Linked DNA regions of Saccharomyces cerevisiae S288C. The gene in region 1 interacts genetically with each later gene. Each region holds a gene or a part of one and is shown on either strand. Other genes may lie near its edges.

Region 1 (6,421 bases):
TAGCTGTGATGATATCCAATAGAGCGAAAGAAGGAATGGAGCCTGTGAGGACATTGCTAGCATAACGACACAACCGAGTCTCGATACGTTCAGTATACTAGTCATTGCCTCTTGGACTCTTGTCGAATTCCTTGAAATTGTCTTTATACCTTGCGATGACAAACTTGAGCTAAACATCAGTCGGCCATTGAGTTCCACGTTTAATACCGCCAGAGTCCCCACCAAAATGGGCGCTAGTAGAGGCATTGCTACTAGCGGTGAGCTTAGATCAAAGGAACTGAAACCCAGTGCGGAAAACCAGGAAGGATAAAAACTTTCTATAAGCTGTGTCTCTGTTAGGGTCCTGATGCCCATGGAGACTGTGACCCAAAGAGGAATTTGCACCATTGGCAGTAAGGCATTTTTCCATAGGGGTACATTGTACTTCTTGAATAATTTTTTCTGCCTCTTTCTTGTCTCTTTCACTGCCAATAGTGTAATTTGTTCTGGTGTCAAAACGCCAGCATTCTGTAGTTGTAACGGCATGAAAGAACCGTTGGAGCTAATTCTGGCGGCATTTCTAGACTTTTTATTAGTAACGGCTGCCAGTCGAAGTTTAATAATGGGCGTTATTGGCTGTACTAATTTCCTCAGTTCTTGTTGTTTCAAAATTCTCCTCCGCTGCCATATACTGAATGGCAGCGTCACGAGGGTTCTAAGGGTCATAGTAGTCAAAGGAACAAGCACTATCCATGGTATATGTGAGGCTTCATGCACTGTTAAAAACGTGTCCGCTACACTTTGAAAAAGTGAAAAGCTTCTCTTTGTACTTGGATTAGTCCTACCATATCGCAGACCGACTGAGCTGCACGAGAATGACGCAAAACCATTTTGACGATTGGCTAACCTCTTTAACATAATGCCATACTTTATCTTGAAATTTTCCTATCCTTGGACCTTTTTTTTCTAATGAAAGTCTTTTTAGCCTTAGTTGAATTACTGGACGGTAGAAAAATTGGGTTTGCCAGCAAAAACAAAAGTGCAGAACGTTAAATAAATGAAAGCATAAACTCATATGCTAGAATATTTACTAAAAAAAAAAAAAAGTAAAAAAAATTCATTACTATTATACATGTGATATCAGAACGGAAGGTTTTACTCAACTTGACTGCCATCCCTCGGTTTGTAGTGAGGCAACAGCTCCACAACCTCAGCTGGTAGTCTACCATCGACCTTGATGGCGTACATACCAGCTATACTATGATCTACGCTCAGCCACTTTGCTACCCACGACTTAGTAGGCTTACACATTCCTACGAGGCCCTCGAAAGAAGGCGACGTACATTCCATTGTAGAAACACCTGCCTCTTCAAAAATACCCTGACAGTTGGGACAACCATCTCTATTAAACTCATTTGTGGTCTGCACTATGCCACACAGCATACAGGCTCTTTCACTAGACATCTCTTACACTGTACCTCGTTCGCTTTTGCCAAACTGAATGTGGCCAGGTGTAATTATTACACAGTACATCCTTCGAGCCCTTTCTTAAATTTCACTTTTTCACTCGATTTCACTCATAGAACGTATAAGGTGACCTTTATCAACATCGAGATTAATTATAGATAGAAGATGATTAAATTATATACATGAATATATTTATTTGAGGTATGGTGTCTAAAGCGTAATATACCTATCTACTTCACGTAAATTGGACTACGAGGACCGCTTTAAATAGTAGTAACCATCTCTTTCCTCCATATTTTTCTTTACAAATTCTGGAAGCTCTTCACCCTTATTACTATCATACAAGATGATACCATTACCTAGAGCATGTTTCTTTTCGTTTCTCTTGTAAAAAAAAAGTACAACAAACGTCCATAAACCGTAAATAGCACCAAAAATTAAGCTCACGGTGTAACCAGTCTTAAAACGTGGTGACTCCACGGTAGGCCACGCCAAGGTAGGAATCCAGGCGTAAGTGGATTGAGAGAAGGAATAAATGGCGATCCATGTAATAGCCTTCACCTGAGGATCAAACCTTAAGAAGTCATTAATAAACGACCATAGACAAGGCGATGCGGCCACACTGAAATACGTGGTGAAGAAAGCGTACCATTTAGCTTTCGAAGGAATATCCCACTTGATAAGTAAGGCACAAGAAACGGTATTCATTATAGCAGCAAAAACCATGAATATCCACTTACATCTAAATAAATCGGCACCAAAGGCACAAAAAATCACATACGCAAATCCTAAACATGCGGGTATAACACTCAGGTTGTTCACTTGGGCAATGGAGTACTTTGTATTAGACTTTAACCACAAAGTATATGAACCACTATACGCAGTCATGTTATTCCACGAACATGTATCAAAAACAACAAGTACCCAGAATGCTGGAGTACAAAATACTTTCTTCCAAAGTTTTCTGCTCCATAATGGGGCTAGCTTACTTTTATCAACACCATCTTTGATTTGGTTCCTCTTATTTCTGGCCCTTGCAATTCGTATTTCTTCGTCAGTCAGAAATAAAGAGTAACACTTAGATGGTACACCGGGAATAACAAAAAAACCAATAATAGCCGTGGGAAGAGAAATTGCAATGGCATCGATCAGAAACATCCATCTCCAGCCTGCTAGACCATGGACGCCGTTCAAACTTTTGAATATGCGACTTTGCAGAAGTCCTGAAGTCACGGAACCCAATTGTTGCCCACAAAAGAATAAACAGACTCTTGAATTAATTTCATCTGGGGCATACCAACAACCTAGTATATATTGGGACACTGGGTAGTAAGCAGCGCCAAAGGCACTTAAAATAAATCTGTAAGCCCTTAGTTCGGCTAGTGAGTTTGCCCTATAACATGCAAATGTGAACCAAGTCCAGCCCAAGTCCATTACAGGCAAAATAATATGAGAGGGAAATCTTGGTAACAAATACATAAATGGTAATTGGAAGACAATGGCACCAACATTAGCAATAGTAGAAGTGTAAACGTAATCATTACCTTTCATGTTTAAATCTTCCTTCATATTGGAAACATATGCGTTAGTGTAGTTATTCAAATCCACTGACTTGGACCAACATAACATAAAAAAGTATAAAGCAATAATAATGTCTAGCTTGTAAAGAAGCCGTCTTTCAGCCTTGGTTTGAGTAGTATGATTAGGATACAAAAACTCGTACCACTTACGTGATTTCTTGTATTCCTTATTAACACGATACTCGAATTCATCAAAATATTTCCACCATTTACGCCCAGCTTCATCTCTCACTTCATATGGCAAGTCATGCCTTAAATTGTGAGGATGAGGTTCTACAGCTGTAGTTTCTGCCGTAACGTCTGTCTTCGAGGACTTATCTACGCTATGATGTAGCTCCTCTTCAGCTATGATACTGGAGTTAGTATCGTCTGAGTATAAGTACTGATCATCTTCGGGTAGTTTTCTCAAATGTGGGAAGTAGCTCCTCCACGATTTATTCGAAATTGTCATTATCTATTGATTTGTGTCGGTCCTTTTTTGAAAATTGAAACAAATGAAAAGGCGATTGCTCGTGGGTGTAGAGCCTTTATATATAGTTATGTTATAGCCGTAAGAGTCATGCAGATTTTTGGGAATGGCTATCATCAAACTTAGCCTTGCATCTCATATTTCGACTTTTTTTTTCATTTCACACATTTTTTTTTCCTTTCACAGTTGGGTGAAAGAGTCTCGGAGGCGGTACGGCGCTTTCTGTGTAAATCATCCTAAAGTGATTCATAATCTCAGAGCCATTTCGGGTGAACTAATGATGATTTTCTAGTAGACTACGGCAGTATCTTAGCTGACGCAATTGTAGCAATGGAGGCAATCATGTTAGTAAAGGACATTTTAGTTGTAGGAGCATAGGATCGACAGGCCATGTGAAAGGCGTACTAGCAAAGATTGAAGTAATGAGAATAATTGACGATGATTTTAATTTGAGCTTTTCAATGCAGCCGAATTCAGCAGTAGTTGCAGAACCGGACTAACACTTGAAAAAATCCCACGAGCCAGCTGCCGTCTAAGGATATTGTAATAAAGTTGGGCTTAAACTAAAGTTTTTATATCTTGGTTGTAAGGTTGTAATCATTCGTCTCAAGAAGAACGTTGAGTAATCATTAGTCCTCCGCATAAGTAGGTTGCCAATAACTTGTTCAGCAATGATGGTTGCAGCATATCCTCGCTAACGTTTTACTTACCAAATATTTTTTGCTGGTGATTAAGAAAGCTTCTACCATAAGAACACTATGTCAATTTAAAGCAATAATGTTTTCCTGAGTGTTCTTGAGCCTCTGTAAACGAATCATCAATTCAAGTATTTTTATTTTATTGCAAGGATATCGCCAACTAATTATTAACCGGCACTAATGATAGAAATGTTTTTATTTCGAACTACAAAAAGGGCATACATGACGTGGATATATGTAAAGGGTTACTAGTTTACTTATTGATGTAATATCAAGAACAATGTGCTTTTAAAAGAGACATGGTTGACGAGTAAACAAACATACATTGGTAATTCTATAAGGGTCTTTAGGCAATTTCAAATCCACTTGAGTAGGTGTTCAATGCGTCGCAGTTGGTTGGAACGAGTTCGAGTTTTTGAAACAATTCACAAGCGGGATGATAGTAGTAGCCTTCCACTGAACCTGTTAGCTGGTCTAAACACACATAGTAAAATCCCTCAAATGACGCGCCTTCCAGATGATGATTATCGTCCAACATCAGATTTTCTTGTTCCTCATCATCAAGTAGGAACCTTTCCTTCCATTTAAGATAAATATATCGTTGATTCATAAATTCTGCACTTTCATGATTATACTGACCAAAATTTCTTTCCGTTAACGACCAGTTATCAGAACCAAAATGACCAAACCTCTTCCAATGAGAGCAATCACTTTCTCTCTGAGCCATATAAGGGTCGAGCGTCTCCTCAGCGGGCCAATGCAGTGAACATAACGGGAATTGGTTATAATTGATGACATACCCTTCAAAAAGGGTAACAACTTTATCTAGGACTGGTGTTAAATTTTTAATAGTGAAAGTACCTGTGACATGCGGGTCCAAAGAACGCGAATCCTTGTAAAGTGGCAAGTTTACGGTATCAATCTTCACTTCCACCGTATAATACGTGTACTTTGACGATTGCGAACCGCCAAATCTCAATCCTGGCCTCAAAAAATCTAAATGTCTACCAAGGGATCTGTAGGTATATTTAGCATTCTTACCCACTAAATTGGTCCCTTCCTCGTAAACATCACAGTCCTCTTCTTTTGCTTTGAAGTGAGGCAAACGTGTATCAGTTGAGGAGGGTAGAGAGACATAGGCCGAAGTATATATTTCTTCAATGTTGTCATTTCTTTTGGCCCTTTCTAGAATAAACTTTCTTCCCATGATATTCAGTGATGTCATACCTACAGTATATTTTAAATGAAAAGTCTCATAACACAATACGAAAGGATAAAGATAACTCGTCGATGGCCATCATGATTGCCCTTTTTATATGTTTTTATCAAATATTAAACTAAACAACATATACAATTACATCATTTTTCCCTACTTTCTTTTTCTGTAATGGTTCATCGAAGCATTTTTAAGGGTGCCCTGAAGACTATTGTTAAAAAAAGGTACCGCATACATTCGAACCATTACCAGAAAAAAGAGGGGTGAAAAGACATTCTAAATTTTGTTATCGAATGTGAACAGAACACTTAAGAAAACGCCAAGGTTAAGAAGGCCTTGAGAGTATTGATTAAGGCGCATGGAGCACAGGTAAACGCGAAAGACGTTTTGTACTTCCTTTTACTGAGCACCTCTTACATGTAGTAGTAACCATCGCAGCGGAATAAGCACACAAAAAATGGTATTTACTTTTAGGCAAACTTGTGGGAAGTATTAAAATTATTATGTAGATTTATGTATATCGTTTGTGGTTGTATTAAACTTTAATGTTATTAGTGTTGTTAACAACATTTCTTTGGCCATTATTTTATTTGGCTAAAAATTTCAATGTTTTTACTTTGTTTATTGTCAGTTGAAGAAGCTGAGAATTCTTGTGATTCCATGTTTACCTGGGGTGGGACCACTATTGTTTGGACTAAATTGATATTGTTTCCTGTTGCCCTTAACAATGGTTGTTCCTTCTCTTGTTGCTTAGGGGCCGAGTTCACGTAGGTGTAATTACTCGTTGAGATAGGTTCAATGGCTTTTATATCTAATGGGGGCAGGAGAATCTTATTACAGTTTGAATCTCTCTTTAGGAAATTAGGAGAGAGTGGCAAACATGATGCTACTGAAAACGATTTCATATCAGAAGCACCAGATAAAGAACCTCTTGAAGTCTTGCGAAACGGCTGTTGAAGAGCAAAACAAGACCAATTAGAGATATCAGTCAACAATGCTTTCGTCTGGTCAT
Region 2 (5,028 bases), on another chromosome or scaffold:
AGTTATGAAAAAAAACTTCAACTGTCAAGAAGTATGTGGATTGCCTTTATCTTGCTCCATCCACACCTGTAAAAAGAAATGCCACCCTGGCTTATGTGGGCCATGTCCAGAAATGATAATTAGTAAAGATAGTCCGAAAAAGCAAATAAAATGCTACTGTGGTAACCACACTCGTGCTAACATAAAGTGTAGTGAAACAAAGTTTCCCAAGTCCGGTAAGTCGTCGAAGGATGAAAATGGGAACAGGTGGATAGGCGTGTTTGCCTGTGCAGATAATAGAGTTGTCGACTACTCATGTCGCAAGCATTCATTCATAGAATCTTGCATAAGCCCACCCACAATTAATGGAGAAAAGGCATGCCCATTTTTGCCTAGCTCTTTGAAAACTTGTCCCTGTGGCCGGACAGCCCTAGAGGAACTGACTAAGCCTCGTAAGCATTGTGATGATCCGATACCAACCTGCGACTCAAGATGCGGTAAACCACTAAAATGTGGCAAACATTCGTGCCCCTTCACTTGTCATGATAAAGCCTGTATGGAACCCTGCTTGCAAATTGATAGTGTAAAATGTGCTTGTGAGCAAAGTACATTTTCAGTTCCATGTGGATTTCAAGGAAGGCCTCGCTGCAATATTAAATGCGAATCCCTGATGTCATGCCGTAGACATAGATGCACCGATAGGTGCTGCAGTGGTAGGCCATCGGCGATAAGAAGGAAGAAAAACTTGTTCAGAACGCAAGATTTGTTGGATGAGTCTCTTGTGGAAGCAAAACATATCTGCCTAAAACCGTGTAACTTGACCCTATCATGTGGAATTCATAAATGTCAGAGAAAATGTCACCCAGGAAAGTGTCCGCCCTGTTTAGAGAGTGATTCGAACGATCTGGTCTGCCCATGTGGCAATACAGTTGTTCCTGCACCCGTGCGTTGTGGCACGAAGCTACCTACATGTAATCATCCATGTATTAAAGTTGTGCGTGGCGAATCTACGTGTGGTCATAAACCAATGCCACATACCTGTCATTCCTTGGATGTGTCGTGCCCGCCATGTACGGAAACCGTATTTAAACCTTGTAAATGTGGGAAGAAAACTAAAGTGAGAACGGTTTGTTTTCAAACAGACGTATCATGTGGAATAAAATGTGGGATACCACTCTCTTACTGTTATCATACCTGCCAAAAAACATGTCATTTACCAGGAAATTGCCAAAAGGTGTGTAAACAGACCTGTGGGCAAAAAAGGCTCAATTGTAATCATGAATGTCCTAAACCGTGCCATGGTAAGACAGAGTGTCCCGATTTACCTTGTGCCACGCTAGTGAAAATTTATTGTAAATGTGGAAGGATCAAAAAAAGTGTTACTTGTGGCGCAAAAAGTGATAGAGTAAGTGTAACTGAATCTTCCGTGCTGGATTGCAATGAAGAATGTGAAGCTTTGAAACGACTAAAGGAATTGAAGGAGGCATTTGGAATTAAGGAAGAAACCAATAATTTTACAAGTAATGAACTAGATGCGTTAAAAAAACTGGTCTCTGTTGCTACAACATTTGAAGAACTGCAGTTACCGTTTACAGAGGCAGCATTATCAGTATATTCAAAGCAAGAAAGATGGTGTTCACAAATTGAAGCTATTCTTAATAAATTAATGGACGATAAAACACGTTCAAGCTTGCATTTCAAACCTATGAGGCCTCCTCAACGCCACTTCATCCGTGAACTAGCCAAAGCTTACGGCCTATATTCCGAGTCTCAGGACAGAGAGCCCATGAGATCTGTATTTATTAAGAAAGAAGATAATGGCGCAAGCAATAAACCAGTCTTATCATTAGCAGAAGCTTACCCACTATATGAATCATTTAAACAATTGCAGAAGGAAAGGAAAGCACAAGAATTTCAAGCTCGCACCACAGCTAAACTAATCAACTTCGAGGTTCAAGATACGGAACCTAAAGTAGAGGTGGCTAAGAAAAATGGTTTTTTGGTTCAAAATTTGGTTGCTGGAAATACTGCCGAAGATCTAAGGAGATTTTTTGAACCACATCTCAAGCATACGTTAGTAGTGAATCCTCAATACCTAATCCTTGATGATGGCAAAACAGCACTAGTGTATCCTGAAAATTACGAAACAGCATCCGTGAATACCGAACGTGACATGGAGCTTTTGGTTGGACACTTCGATTTTATGGCCAAAGAGGCATTTTTGGCCGATTCCATTTCGTTGTGTTCAACTGAAGAAGAACTTGAAAGAAGGTTGGATACGCCCGTAATTCAAGAGGATAGTCCTGTAATGGATAATAATACATGAACTATAATAGCGTGTCATTATTTATTACGCGGAATTCTAATTAAATAGAAATATCTAACTTTTATTTTTTTTCATCCTATCTCATTTCTTGTTTCTCCCTGTCGTTGCTAAAATACGAGGATCTGCATATGTTTACATATCAACGTTCCCGTAAACGAATGGAGAATACTGAGTGTCACGTTAATAATACGGATATTATAATTTGGAAACCTAGTCAAGTAAAACCAGAAGAGATTTTTCTTTTCTCTTAAGCTTTTTTGGCTTGACCAAACGAAAAGTCCCTCACACCCAAACACTGAAAGTAATTCTTCGTATTTAAATAATTCAAAAGTTATGATGAGCAGGCTCTATGTAAAAAAATGGCCCATAATTTTCCCTAGAACGTTATAAAAACGCGACTAGTGAGGTATTGAGTATGGAGAGTATATTTGGTGGGTTTGGAGATCTAGTTGTTCCTAGGCCAAAGGAGCATCTCGGTCAAACAGACCTTTCCTTCGGTGGAAAATTATTGCCTGCATTGAAAATTTGTGAAGATGGCGGTGAAAGTGGTTGTGGCGGTAAAGTCTGGATCGCTGGCGAACTGTTGTGCGAGTACATACTCGAGAAATCAGTTGACCATCTGCTAAGTAAGACGGTCAATGGTACGAAACAATTTAAAAAAGTCTTAGAATTGGGTAGTGGTACAGGTTTAGTTGGATTGTGCGTGGGGTTGTTGGAAAAAAACACATTCCACGATGGCACTAAAGTATATGTTACGGACATTGACAAGTTGATACCACTATTGAAAAGAAATATAGAACTGGACGAAGTTCAGTATGAAGTTCTTGCGAGGGAACTTTGGTGGGGTGAGCCGCTGTCGGCAGATTTCTCACCTCAAGAAGGTGCTATGCAAGCAAATAACGTTGATCTAGTTTTGGCAGCTGATTGTGTGTATCTCGAGGAAGCTTTTCCATTACTAGAAAAAACACTACTTGATCTCACTCACTGCATAAACCCACCTGTAATCTTGATGGCTTACAAGAAGAGAAGAAAAGCTGATAAACATTTTTTCAACAAGATTAAAAGAAATTTTGACGTTCTTGAAATTACAGATTTTAGTAAATTTGAACATTATCTTAAGGAAAGAACCCACTTGTTTCAGCTTATCAGGAAGTAACCTGACACAGTGAATTTATCTCTTAATGATCCTGATCTTATTATATTTAGTAATGAACTTTTCGATAGACATTTGTAATTCATGAAAAAACGATATAACATTCATTTTTGTAGTGTGGTGTACGCATGGTGGGACTGCTCTTCTTGAGCGAAATTTTGATCTTCAATAGAGTGAGCAACGACAACTCAAGGATAAAGACAGAACAGCGGTAAACATCGTTTGCAAAATAACTAGAGAGCCGGATCGATTTACTTTGCAAAGTTGCGTCCTTTTTCCACGACAGAATATGTCTGCATTATTTAATTTTCGTTCTCTTCTGCAAGTGATATTGTTACTGATTTGTTCATGTTCTTATGTTCATGGGCAGTGGCCGTCTCTCCTAGATCGTTACAAAAATCATGAGGTTTTGGGGGCCTTCTGGAAAATGGCACGTGTTGGTGAAAGGGCCAGTCCATATGTTAGTTTAGCATGTATTTTGATGGCCATCAGTCAATTTAACAGCTGATTGGAAGATACTTAGTCATATGGATTTAAAGTTACGCAAATCAAGGTCATAGAAGGTGCAGTACCTTTTAAAACAAAGAGTATAAGTGGATTCAGACGAAGTGTCTCTTTAATTCTATCGTCTGATAGCGTACAAGTAAGGGTGCTATGAGCTAGCACGCACAGCAAAAATATAAACACTTTTGTATTTTTTTTTATTTTATAGTGTTTTGTGTTGAGTATTCATCTATTCGACCTCTATAGAGATTTAAGAAGGGAATTCATTGTCACAATAAGGACGCATAGTTGTTCATTTTAGACATCATTTACAGCACTTCCGTAAACTACCCCATATTGCGATTGAATACTACCGAAAAGGCTCAAGAATTTACGTGGTGCCCAATCAATTATATAGAATGAGGAACAATGGTAAGTAATGAATAATCATGGTCAGTAATAAAAAAGCAATCTCGTCCATGTTTCTTTTTGAAACTCAGAGCTTGACTCTGTTGCATTGGTATTTCATCATTTGATGAATTATTCACTATTCCATCTTCTTCTTACACAAGTTTACCAATAAATAACTCATCTGAGTTATTCAGACTTTTTATTAGATCAGTTCGGCATATTTAACTATGCAAAAGTTTTACACTGCTAAAAAGTAGTGTAAACAACAAACTGTTAAAAAAATAAAAAGGGGTGAATCCATGGACCAAGAATAGTAAGCTCCATTGGGTTACTCGATCCAGCACGGGAAAGAGCAATCGTCATAACTATGGTTTAGATTCCATACAAACGGAATCCAGTACCGAAGAAAACACCAGTACCCTGCAATAGAGGTACCAGGTCAAGAAGCAGAATACCCAAGGGCATCCTCCTTAATGAGTTGATTTAAACAATTTAAAATTTTTAAATCTCATTACGTTTTCCGCATACGAATTGGTGGGAGACTTTCAACCCAAAGCATATTACTGAGTAAAAAAAATTTTACTCCATTTTGTAAGCTTCGATTTGTGACGATTCTTTGGTCATGGATTGAAGAACTTTAAACGAGAAGAAATTAGAAAACAGGTGAAGACCACTA
Region 3 (5,505 bases), on another chromosome or scaffold:
CAAGAAGGGATTAAACCTCCATTCGATAAAAGTCACTTCGAGTACTCCAAAAAGTCCCTCTTCTGGAAGCTGACTATAATTAAGTTCGATAATTGTACGATACAACTGTGTAGTATCTTTGTAATTATAATCATGATGATAACGCTAATAATTTGTACGTATAATGCTGACTGAAAGATGTACTTTTCTTCTACCGTTTTTCTTCGGCGGCTATTCGTTTACAATGATTTGGAAAAATGAGAAAAATTGAAAATAAAAAATTCTGCTCGATGAGATGAGATGAGGTTATGATATATATGTAAGAATTCCTCAAGAAGAGGTTGCAAGAGTCTGCAGACATTATCATGGCAGCAAATAGCAATAGTAGAGTTGCATCAAACCATACTTCTAAAAAACAAAAGGTTAGGAGGAATATACATCCATTCACGAATAACACTCGGATTAAAAGAGCTAGTAAAATCGTAAAGTTTAATGATTCAGGCGAGGGCGACCATGTTTCAGACCAACGTTCGAACAAGGAAAATGTCCTTACTTATAAATCTTTGAAAAGTCGGGCAAGCGATTTACTCAAAATGAGAGAAACACTTCCCGTTTACCAACACAAGCGAGAAATAATGTCATATATTGAAAGCAATCCCGTTACCGTCCTTATTGGTGAAACAGGTTCTGGTAAATCAACACAAATTCCGCAATTCGTATTAGAAAAATTATATGATACGAAGAAGCATGGGTCGATTGCTGTAACTCAACCCCGTCGTGTTGCGGCCATCAATTTGGCTACACGTGTTGCTCAAGAACATGGTTGCAAACTGGGTGAACAAGTAGGTTATTCTGTCAGATTTGACAATACGACTACTACAAGAACAAGACTTAAGTATCTGACTGACGGTATGTTACTTAGAGAACTTATGATGAATAGTGACCTTAGAGAATACAGCGTCATCGTTATCGATGAAGCGCATGAAAGAACTGTGCTTACAGATTTGATATTGGGGTTCTTAAAATCCTTGATACAAGGGCCAAGACCTGATTTGAGAATAATTGTTATGTCTGCAACATTGCAAGCCGAAAAATTTAGTGAGTTCTTCAATAATGCCCCAATCTTATTTGTAGAAGGAAGAAAATTTGATGTCAAACAATACTACTTGAAGGCGCCAACAGATGATATAGTAGACGCTGTCATCAGGTGTTGTATACAAATAAACCAAGGTGAAGAACTGGGAGATATCTTATGTTTTTTACCGGGCCAAGAAGAGATTGACAAAGCAGTGACTATAATGGAGAAAATTGCAAAGTATGTTTCAGATGAGGCCCCAGTACCATTAATAGTTCCTTATCCTTTATATGCAGCTCTTCCCGCGGTCCAACAGTCCTTGGTCTTCGCTCCGATAAAGGGTTTCAAGAGAAAAGTCGTCTTTAGTACCAATATTGCAGAAACATCTGTTACCATATCCGGTGTTAAATTTGTCGTTGATTCTGGTCTTCGAAAAGTCAAAGTTTGGAGACATCAGCTGGGATTAGCCACTCTACTTACCGTACCCATTTCTCAGGCAAGTGCGATGCAGAGAAGTGGTCGTGCTGGTAGAGAAAGTGAAGGAAAGAGTTTCAGGCTTTATTGTGAGTCTGATTATGTGAAATTACCTAAACAAAGTGAACCTGAAATAGCCAGAAGTGACGTCACATCTCCTGTGTTAATGTTGAAGAGATATGGTGTTGATGACCTGCTAAACTGGACCTGGTTTGAGAACCCTGGAAAGGAAGCTATAGTAATGGGGCTTCAGGAACTTTATGAATTGGGTGCTCTTGACACTCGTGGAAAGATAACTAAACGGGGTCAACAAATGGCTCTGTTACCGCTACAACCGCATTTAAGTAGTGTCTTAATTAAAGCCAGTGAAGTCGGATGTTTGAGTCAGGTCATTGATATCGTCTCTTGCCTTAGTGTGGAAAATTTACTGTTGAATCCGTCACCAGAAGAAAGAGATGAGGTGAACGAGCGTCGTTTGTCCTTATGCAACGCTGGTAAAAGGTATGGTGACCTTATCATGCTGAAAGAGCTTTTTGATATCTATTTCTACGAACTAGGGAAAAGTCAAGATGCAAGCTCTGAAAGAAATGATTGGTGTAAAGGATTGTGTATTTCGATACGTGGGTTTAAAAATGTAATTCGTGTCAGAGACCAGTTAAGAGTTTATTGTAAGCGTTTGTTTTCTTCAATCAGTGAAGAGGATGAAGAATCCAAAAAGATTGGTGAAGATGGCGAGCTAATTTCGAAAATTTTAAAGTGTTTCTTAACTGGGTTTATCAAGAATACAGCTATAGGGATGCCAGACAGGTCTTATAGAACTGTTTCCACTGGAGAGCCGATAAGCATTCATCCATCATCTATGCTATTTATGAATAAAAGCTGCCCCGGTATAATGTACACGGAGTATGTCTTTACTACGAAGGGATATGCCAGAAATGTTAGTAGGATTGAACTTTCATGGTTACAAGAAGTTGTCACTAATGCAGCCGCTGTAGCAAAGCAAAAAGTTTCTGATTCAAAATAAGTCACCTACTCTTAGCGCATTTTTATTGTATATAAAGGCATTTAATGTAATTTATAGAGCATTATAAATCGTAACAACTACTGCAGTATGAGTTTCATGGATTCATTTCTCAATATCTTATGAATATACACAGGTATATATGTATATTCATGTTAAACGCCTTTCGAATTGTTCGTTGGCTTTTTTTGTGAAATTATCTCGGGAAAAGGGCGAAATTATATTATTTTGCCGTTGACATTTTGAAAAGGAATAAAAGATCATGAAAAAAATAAGAAAGGCAATTCGACGCATTTCTCTCAGCAAGCTATTCTTTACTTTTGAAGAACAAAATATTTTAGCAAAAAGGTTAAGACAATATAGTCGGAAGCAGTTCTGCGGGATCTGAAGGAATTGCGGAATAATGAGATTTCACGATAGTATACTTATCTTCTTTTCTTTGGCATCGCTTTATCAACATGTTCATGGTGCAAGACAAGTCGTTCGTCCAAAGGAGAAAATGACTACTTCAGAAGAAGTTAAACCTTGGTTACGTACGGTTTATGGAAGTCAAAAAGAATTAGTCACTCCTACGGTCATTGCCGGTGTCACTTTTTCTGAAAAACCAGAAGAAACACCAAATCCATTGAAACCTTGGGTATCTTTAGAGCATGATGGTAGGCCAAAAACCATTAAACCAGAAATCAACAAAGGTCGAACCAAGAAGGGAAGACCTGATTACTCAACTTACTTCAAAACGGTAAGTTCCCACACATATTCTTATGAAGAATTGAAGGCTCACAATATGGGCCCTAATGAAGTTTTTGTAGAAGAAGAGTATATTGATGAAGATGACACCTACGTCTCCCTGAATCCTATTGTCAGATGTACTCCTAATCTTTACTTCAATAAAGGTCTAGCAAAGGATATCCGCAGTGAGCCATTTTGTACCCCTTATGAGAATTCTAGATGGAAGGTTGACAAGACTTACTTCGTTACTTGGTATACAAGATTTTTTACAGATGAGAATTCCGGTAAAGTTGCTGATAAGGTTCGTGTTCATTTGTCCTATGTTAAAGAAAACCCCGTAGAGAAGGGCAATTATAAAAGAGATATCCCTGCAACTTTTTTCTCTTCCGAATGGATTGATAATGACAACGGTCTAATGCCGGTTGAGGTCAGAGATGAATGGCTGCAGGACCAATTTGATCGTAGGATCGTTGTATCAGTTCAGCCAATATACATATCAGATGAAGATTTCGATCCACTACAATACGGTATTTTATTATACATCACTAAGGGTTCAAAAGTGTTTAAGCCTACTAAGGAGCAACTGGCTTTAGACGATGCAGGTATAACAAATGATCAGTGGTATTATGTTGCATTATCTATCCCTACTGTCGTGGTGGTATTTTTCGTCTTCATGTACTTTTTCTTATATGTCAACGGGAAAAACAGAGATTTCACAGATGTTACTAGAAAAGCTTTAAACAAGAAACGCCGTGTTTTGGGTAAGTTCTCGGAGATGAAGAAATTCAAAAACATGAAAAATCACAAGTACACCGAATTGCCATCTTATAAGAAAACCAGTAAACAAAATTAGATTCCCTTCGAAGTATGCATTCACCCTTCCTCGAGAGGGCTGTTTTTATCTTCCGTCACACTAATAGAAAACCACTCTATCCAGTTTTTTTTGTTACTTAACTTATCTTAACTCGATATTGTATAAATACTGAAGTCCATATACTTCTTTTTTTCTCCTTTGGATAGTAAATACGGTAAATTAAAATTAGTGTAAACTGAACAATATTAACATATATAAATCATCTGTACGACAATTTGATACCAAATAAATAGAGAATGCATCAGCATCCTCCAGGGTTCAAAAGAAAACGCTGGATCTTGCTTCTTTTCCTTTGATTTCTCCTTATATCCATTTCTGTCTTGCAGCAACTTCACATATTTTTTCCAGTGTAATGACCCTTGGATCAGGCTTAAAATGACGCTCAACCACATTATCATCTCCTTCCACATTCCTGCTAAGTAAGCTTTCTTCGTCGCCCTCGCTATTGTCCACATTATCTTCATCTTCATCATCATCTCCGCCGACGTCTTCAATGTAGTAGAAAAAGGGTTCCAACACCAACATAATTTTCCAGAAGTTGTTCGTGCCACAATTAGCAAACAAGACATCTACAAGGGCAGGTAGGTATTCCAATTCAATGTACTCCTCTGCGCAACAAACAAATTCATCTAATTCGTAATCTTGCTCATCAGCAGATAATGTAGAATACATTTCTGATAACAACGTTAATTCTTTGCTAATTGTTTTTGGAATATCTTCTCGAGCTTGCCATAACAGCTTTTGCGCTCTTTCCAGTCTTTCTTGGCTAACGGCATCATCCTTGCTCTCTTTTTCGCCTTTATCACCTTGGACATTTTCGGAGTCTTGTAGAGAAGGCAAGAATCCGTTCTTTTCGCTTTTGACCATAAGCTCATTGTATTCGTTATAGAGGGAGATAATTTTCATCATAGGCTTGTATAATTGCTGACAGACTTTCATTTCCGAGTAAGGTACAATGACTTTTTCCAAATAGTGATTGATCAGTCCTTCCATGAAGTTTGCCCAAATTGACGAAAATACATAATCCTCGTCGTAAGTCGATTCCGTAAAATCTTGGTTGATGTTATGCTGTATGATTTGCTCTGTAAGAGTTGGGAAAAGGTTTTTATGGCTTTTGACCATTTCATCTCTCAAAGCAGTAGATCCAGCGCTATCTGCTCCTTTAGTAGAATTTTCCAAACTATTATCTGTTGAAGACGCCTCTGAGTTCTTTTCACCATCTGTCTTATCTAGCCAGTATTCCGGACCACCCTTTTCAGACAATGTCACCAATAAAAGGAAGAGTTTTACTTTAACCCACGGGTTTAGCGAGTTTACATAGGCGTCCGTAATTTTGCTAACATCGATATTTAT
Region 4 (6,529 bases), on another chromosome or scaffold:
TCCATACGGGTTTTTCGTTTTGTTGTGGTTGTAACAGCACAACAAAATGCTACACGGTGGCAAATTGGAAAAAGAGACTAGTGAGAGAAAAGGGAAAAAGAGGCGCCGCCCGACAGGGTAACATATTATCACGTGCAGCCCAGGATAATTTTCAGGACACGTGTTTCGAAAGGTTTGTCGCTCCGAAAAAATCAAAAAAAACAAAAAACGGGAAATAACAATAACGACAAAAATGGAAAAAAAAAAAATTTTAGACGCGGCGCTTGCACCCCGCATTATAAGTGGTGTGCCGACGGACGGTCAACCCCTTTCAGGGGGCCCCCTATCTTGGGCGTGGTGTCACACCACGCTCAAACGGTGGGCACTAATGAAAACGCGCCCATATAAATATCCGCTATCAACAGAACCCCCAACCCCCCCATCAGTGCCCAACTCAGCTTCCGTAAACCACAACACCACCACTAATACAACTCTATCATACACAAGATGTCATTCGACGACTTACACAAAGCCACTGAGAGAGCGGTCATCCAGGCCGTGGACCAGATCTGCGACGATTTCGAGGTTACCCCCGAGAAGCTGGACGAATTAACTGCTTACTTCATCGAACAAATGGAAAAAGGTCTAGCTCCACCAAAGGAAGGCCACACATTGGCCTCGGACAAAGGTCTTCCTATGATTCCGGCGTTCGTCACCGGGTCACCCAACGGGACGGAGCGCGGTGTTTTACTAGCCGCCGACCTGGGTGGTACCAATTTCCGTATATGTTCTGTTAACTTGCATGGAGATCATACTTTCTCCATGGAGCAAATGAAGTCCAAGATTCCCGATGATTTGCTAGACGATGAGAACGTCACATCTGACGACCTGTTTGGGTTTCTAGCACGTCGTACACTGGCCTTTATGAAGAAGTATCACCCGGACGAGTTGGCCAAGGGTAAAGACGCCAAGCCCATGAAACTGGGGTTCACTTTCTCATACCCTGTAGACCAGACCTCTCTAAACTCCGGGACATTGATCCGTTGGACCAAGGGTTTCCGCATCGCGGACACCGTCGGAAAGGATGTCGTGCAATTGTACCAGGAGCAATTAAGCGCTCAGGGTATGCCTATGATCAAGGTTGTTGCATTAACCAACGACACCGTCGGAACGTACCTATCGCATTGCTACACGTCCGATAACACGGACTCAATGACGTCCGGAGAAATCTCGGAGCCGGTCATCGGATGTATTTTCGGTACCGGTACCAATGGGTGCTATATGGAGGAGATCAACAAGATCACGAAGTTGCCACAGGAGTTGCGTGACAAGTTGATAAAGGAGGGTAAGACACACATGATCATCAATGTCGAATGGGGGTCCTTCGATAATGAGCTCAAGCACTTGCCTACTACTAAGTATGACGTCGTAATTGACCAGAAACTGTCAACGAACCCGGGATTTCACTTGTTTGAAAAACGTGTCTCAGGGATGTTCTTGGGTGAGGTGTTGCGTAACATTTTAGTGGACTTGCACTCGCAAGGCTTGCTTTTGCAACAGTACAGGTCCAAGGAACAACTTCCTCGCCACTTGACTACACCTTTCCAGTTGTCATCCGAAGTGCTGTCGCATATTGAAATTGACGACTCGACAGGTCTACGTGAAACAGAGTTGTCATTATTACAGAGTCTCAGACTGCCCACCACTCCAACAGAGCGTGTTCAAATTCAAAAATTGGTGCGCGCGATTTCTAGGAGATCTGCGTATTTAGCCGCCGTGCCGCTTGCCGCGATATTGATCAAGACAAATGCTTTGAACAAGAGATATCATGGTGAAGTCGAGATCGGTTGTGATGGTTCCGTTGTGGAATACTACCCCGGTTTCAGATCTATGCTGAGACACGCCTTAGCCTTGTCACCCTTGGGTGCCGAGGGTGAGAGGAAGGTGCACTTGAAGATTGCCAAGGATGGTTCCGGAGTGGGTGCCGCCTTGTGTGCGCTTGTAGCATGATCTTTTTACATTTTTTTGGTTTGTGTACGTATCCCACCGTACTTACCATCTTCTCTCCTTTATATATATATATATATATGTATATTTTCAGTGTATATACATACATTCTTATACAATACCGTATAAGAACGTATGTATGTATGTATGATTTTCTCACATTAATGAACAATATCATCGGAAACGGGCCTTTGGTTTTTAAGGGAAAATGAAGAACAATAAATGCCTTGCTAGGTCTTCCTTTATCATTTTTGGAAGTCAAATATGAAAAACACTTCCAAGGGGGCGTACTACTTCAACTAATAAAATGTCACACACTAATAAGATCGCATACGTGTTGAACAATGACACGGAGGAAACAGCCTCGCCCTCTTCCGTTGGTTGTTTTGACAAGAAACAGCTCACTAAATTACTGATACATACTCTAAAGGAGCTGGGCTACGACTCCGCCGCTAACCAGTTACTGCTAGAGAGCGGCGGATATCAAAATGAGTCTAACCACATCCAGACTTTCTTCAAACTCATCAAGACCGGCCAATTCCATCTTATTAATTGGCAGATTGTTTGCTCGCTGCCCCTTGCCCATAGCTCTCCGCTAAGGTCCGAATGGCTTCAAAGGCTGCTCATTCCCACGCCGACGCCCGCCACGACTTCACTTTTCGACCACATGCTCCTGCAACTGCAATACCTGCAACAGCTGATGAGCTCTGTAAATTCATCTACTTGTTCGGACGCAGAGATCGCCACGCTCAGAAATTACGTAGAGATCATGATTCTAGTTAATAGACAAATATTCCTCGAATTCTTCCATCCAGTCACAAATTCCGCCTCTCACAAGGGCCCTCACACTGCACTGCCCGTCCTGTATTTGCGCAAAATCCTCAAAAACTTCATCGAGATATGGGATTCCCTGCTGGTGTCTAACGATCAGTTCCTAAATGAAGAAAACATCTTCAATCCGGAAACGACCTTGAGAGAACTGTCGACGTACCTGACCAACCCAAAACTAACCGCGCAGTTGAACCTCGAGCGAGACCATCTGATTGACGCCATCTCCAAATATATCGATCCGAACGAACTCGTTCCCAAGGGTCGTCTCTTGCATCTCTTGAAACAGGCCATCAAGTATCAACAATCACAAGACATTTTTAATATCATCGATCCGGATGATGACGCCTCTTTCTCCTCTCCACCCCACCGGATCAACCTTTTGCAGGATAACTTCTCACACGATCTGACTGTGACCTTTCAAGAATGGAAGACTATCCAAGACACCACAGACGAAATTTGGTTTTTGACATTTTCGCCCAATGGCAAGTATTTGGCTTCTGCGACTTCCGAGTCTTCAAGAGGCTACTTCATTACTGTTTATGATGTGGAACAAGACTTCAAAATTTATAAGACTTGCGTGAGCTTGTCACAATCCGTATTGTACCTCATGTTTTCTCCTGATAGCCGGTATCTGGTTGCTTGCCCTTTCAGCGAAGATGTTACCATTTACGACATGAATGCCACCTCCCTGCCCGATGCGTCTGCCACAGACTCGTTCCTACTATACCCTTCTACCAGGCTCTCGCCCATGGACTCGTTTAAACTGGACACCACCACGTACCCAGATGATACCGAATCATCAGCATCATCTTCCTCGAGGCCGGCAAACGCGAATTCTAATCAATCAAGAGTATGGTGCTGCGATGCCTTCCACACTGCGGAACGTGCGGGCTGGATGGTGGTTGGATCGCCCGACAGAGAAGCTATTGTACACTCACTCACCACGAAAGAGTCACTTTTTAGCTTAAAAGGCAGGACTTGTATCGCGTTGGGCCACGATGAAAACATCTCTGGGAGAAAATCAATCGATCCTGCAAAAGTCCTTTACAAACCAACAAGTAGCAATGGTAACTGGCAATATGTGGAGGACGACGAAACCTTTCCACGTGTGCACGACGTGAAAATCAGCTATGACGATAAATACGTGCTTTTAATGACCCACCAGGGCGTTATAGATGTCTACGATTTCAGTGGGTTCCCCTCCAAAGAGGAGCTATCTAAGCAAACAGTGGATCCCAAAAACTTTCTGATTCCAAGGATCGCAAGATTGGACGTGGGCAAAAACATGACTTGTATCTCATTACCGCTAAATACCACGCATCAAGGCTTCCATAGGCAACAAATATCCGAGTCTCAACATTTGGTATTAGTTAGCCTTCAAGATAACGAATTACAAATGTGGGACTATAAAGAAAATATTCTCATACAAAAGTACTTTGGACAGAAGCAACAGCACTTTATTATCAGATCTTGCTTCGCCTACGGTAATAAGCTTGTCATGAGCGGATCAGAAGATGGTAAAATTTACATTTGGGATAGAATTAGAGGTAACCTAGTATCTGTTTTATCCGGTCATTCCACGGTAATGAGTAATTCCACAAAACCCATGGGGAAAAATTGTAACGTAGTTGCATCAAACCCTGCAGATAAAGAAATGTTTGCTTCTGGCGGTGATGACGGTAAGATAAAAATCTGGAAAATTTCAAGAAATTAATACTCCACCTTATATATATACGTAAGCAAAGTTTTATGTAACAAAAAAAAAAAAAGAACTAATCCAACCTTCTTTCACTTTCAGGTAAAACTTGACTGAGTTCTTCAGCCTCTCTTCTACCTCTCTTGACATCCAAACAGTTTAGCACAGGCAATGATAGCATCAAAAGCAAAAAGAAGAAATAAAACGAATAGCGAATATTATGCGTTTTATCGGTAAGCAGTCCAACAAGGAAGGGTCCCAGGATGGACGACCCCTTATCTGTGATACTGAACATACTAAAAAACGTGGATTCTTTTCCTGGAGGTACAATCAAACTGAAAACTGATCTTGAAACCGCGGACAGGCCACCTAGTGATAATCCATACCAAATGGCCAATAAGAACATTTCAAACTTATGCTTTAAACCGAACGCATTGAAGAAAAATCCAAGAATACCATAAAATGGTATGAAACTTGCCCAAATGATAATGTACATCAAAGTTTGACTAGAAGTCCACCGAAACTTTGTGGCAAGAAATTGTGGAATCATAAAGGCACCCAGCATTGCATTTACAACGGTCAAAACACTTATCATGATTAAATTGAGGGTACTCATGTGCAGTTCTGCCTTGGAGAACAAAACCGCTGTAGAATTTATAGTTGTAATGGAATCACTAATAATAAACCACGCAATAAGAAAAATCATCACATCTTTCAATAGTCTGGCATGTTTAAACGATTCGAAAAGCGAAACCCAACCATATGAAAGGTAATTCTTCCAGTTTAGTTGACCCAAGGCGTCTTGCTCACCGGGATACGGACTGCGGGCGGATGCTAATGTAGAATCGTCAACTCTTATCGGTATTGTCACATCGTCAATCAACCAGATCATGGGCAGTTGCCACACAAACCACCAAATCCCAACGAAAAGAACAGCCACTTGAACATCCTGCTTACTGCCCTTTTTAGATGCGACTAAGAACATAGATACAATCTGAACAATGAGGGCACTTGAATAACCTAAAGATGCACCTCTACCGCTAATAACAGTAGTTAACGAGTCTACCTTATCAGGTTCATAAGCTCCTTGACTTTGACATTTCAAAGAATCCTTGACAAAAATGGGCAGAAGAGAATTCCCAACAACATTGATAACGCCAAAACAACCATTGGCCACTATATAAAGCCCAGCCAGAGAATAAATCTGGGTATCATTCAATTTTGAAATCGCAACAGTCGACAATGCGCCCACAATACCAAACCAAACCAGAATTCTGCCTTTGAATTTAACGCTCCCCCAGAGATCTACTATCCCTGAAACGGAAATGACTATTATAGTTTGGAATAAAACGCTAAGGGAAAAGACATATAATGCAAAACTTGAAGTATCTACGAAGATCCGATTGTTGAACAAACCAAGAACACACTTATCTGAATCACTACCCGTTTCTGACAGGCAGGGTATGGAGTGATCGTGAACTTTTACACCATTTATACTCGCAAATTGCTGCAGTAGTAAGGGAATATACGTTGAAACCGCAGAAACGACAAATGGTTCGCTAGAAAATGAGTAAGCGTACCATCCCTTGATATTGTTTTGGGCTTTTTTTATTCGATAGTTCGTTACCGATTCATTCATATCATTTATAGTTCCATAGCTCATATCTAATGTAGAGAATATGTTATGAGCAAACTATTGCTTATAAGGGCAAAAACCGTGGTAATATAGGTACAGTTTGAAATCTTTCCTTTTGTTTACACTACGCATCTTTCAATAGCTGAGGTATTTTCGTTTAGGAAAATACCGTTTTAAGGAATTAATTTTAGCAATTTCCTAAAATTGTTGAGCGGCGCTATCAATGCCGCACAATACAACAATTAATAATCTAAGACACGTTGCATTATACATGACAGAAGCTAAAGCATGGTCTTAGATGACAATAAAAAGGAATTTGACAGCACAAAAGAGAAAAAAAAAACTATACATAAAATTTTTTACATATGAATTGCTTAGAG

What was found.
Region 2: mutations in VHT1 (region 1) and EFM6 together harm fitness more than expected from each alone (negative genetic interaction), as found in Saccharomyces cerevisiae (one large-scale study listed by BioGRID).
Region 3: mutations in VHT1 (region 1) and PSG1 together harm fitness more than expected from each alone (negative genetic interaction), as found in Saccharomyces cerevisiae (one large-scale study listed by BioGRID).
Region 4: mutations in VHT1 (region 1) and GID7 together harm fitness less than expected from each alone (positive genetic interaction), as found in Saccharomyces cerevisiae (one large-scale study listed by BioGRID).

The regions. Positions count from the first base shown.
Region 1 is NC_001139.9:616,382-622,802, forward strand, and holds VHT1 (Vht1p), read right to left. Parts: upstream 3,478-6,421; coding exon 1,696-3,477; downstream 1-1,695. Other genes in the region: membrane insertase COX18, read right to left, coding at 1-897; transcription elongation factor SPT4, read right to left, coding at 1,135-1,443; GID10 (Gid10p), read right to left, coding at 4,540-5,418; YGR067C (uncharacterized protein), read right to left, coding at 5,991-6,421. UniProt on the Saccharomyces cerevisiae protein: Involved in uptake of biotin with the concomitant entry of protons.
Region 2 is NC_001146.8:585,540-590,567, reverse strand, and holds EFM6 (putative protein-lysine N-methyltransferase), read left to right. Parts: upstream 1-2,720; coding exon 2,721-3,461; downstream 3,462-5,028. Other genes in the region: FAP1 (Fap1p), read left to right, coding at 1-2,305; KSH1 (Ksh1p), read left to right, coding at 3,748-3,966. UniProt on the Saccharomyces cerevisiae protein: S-adenosyl-L-methionine-dependent protein-lysine N-methyltransferase that methylates elongation factor 1-alpha (TEF1 and TEF2) at 'Lys-390'.
Region 3 is NC_001143.9:288,501-294,005, forward strand, and holds PSG1 (Psg1p), read left to right. Parts: upstream 1-2,952; coding exon 2,953-4,131; downstream 4,132-5,505. Other genes in the region: SMY1 (Smy1p), read left to right, coding at 1-73; DHR2 (RNA helicase), read left to right, coding at 345-2,552; AAN1 (Aan1p), read right to left, coding at 4,456-5,505. UniProt on the Saccharomyces cerevisiae protein: With EXP1, the specific cargo receptor protein for the plasma membrane ATPase PMA1, is involved in the transport and/or maturation of PMA1.
Region 4 is NC_001135.5:50,352-56,880, forward strand, and holds GID7 (glucose-induced degradation complex subunit GID7), read left to right. Parts: upstream 1-2,293; coding exon 2,294-4,531; downstream 4,532-6,529. Other genes in the region: YCL042W (uncharacterized protein), read left to right, coding at 233-592; GLK1 (glucokinase), read left to right, coding at 487-1,989; ATG22 (Atg22p), read right to left, coding at 4,590-6,176.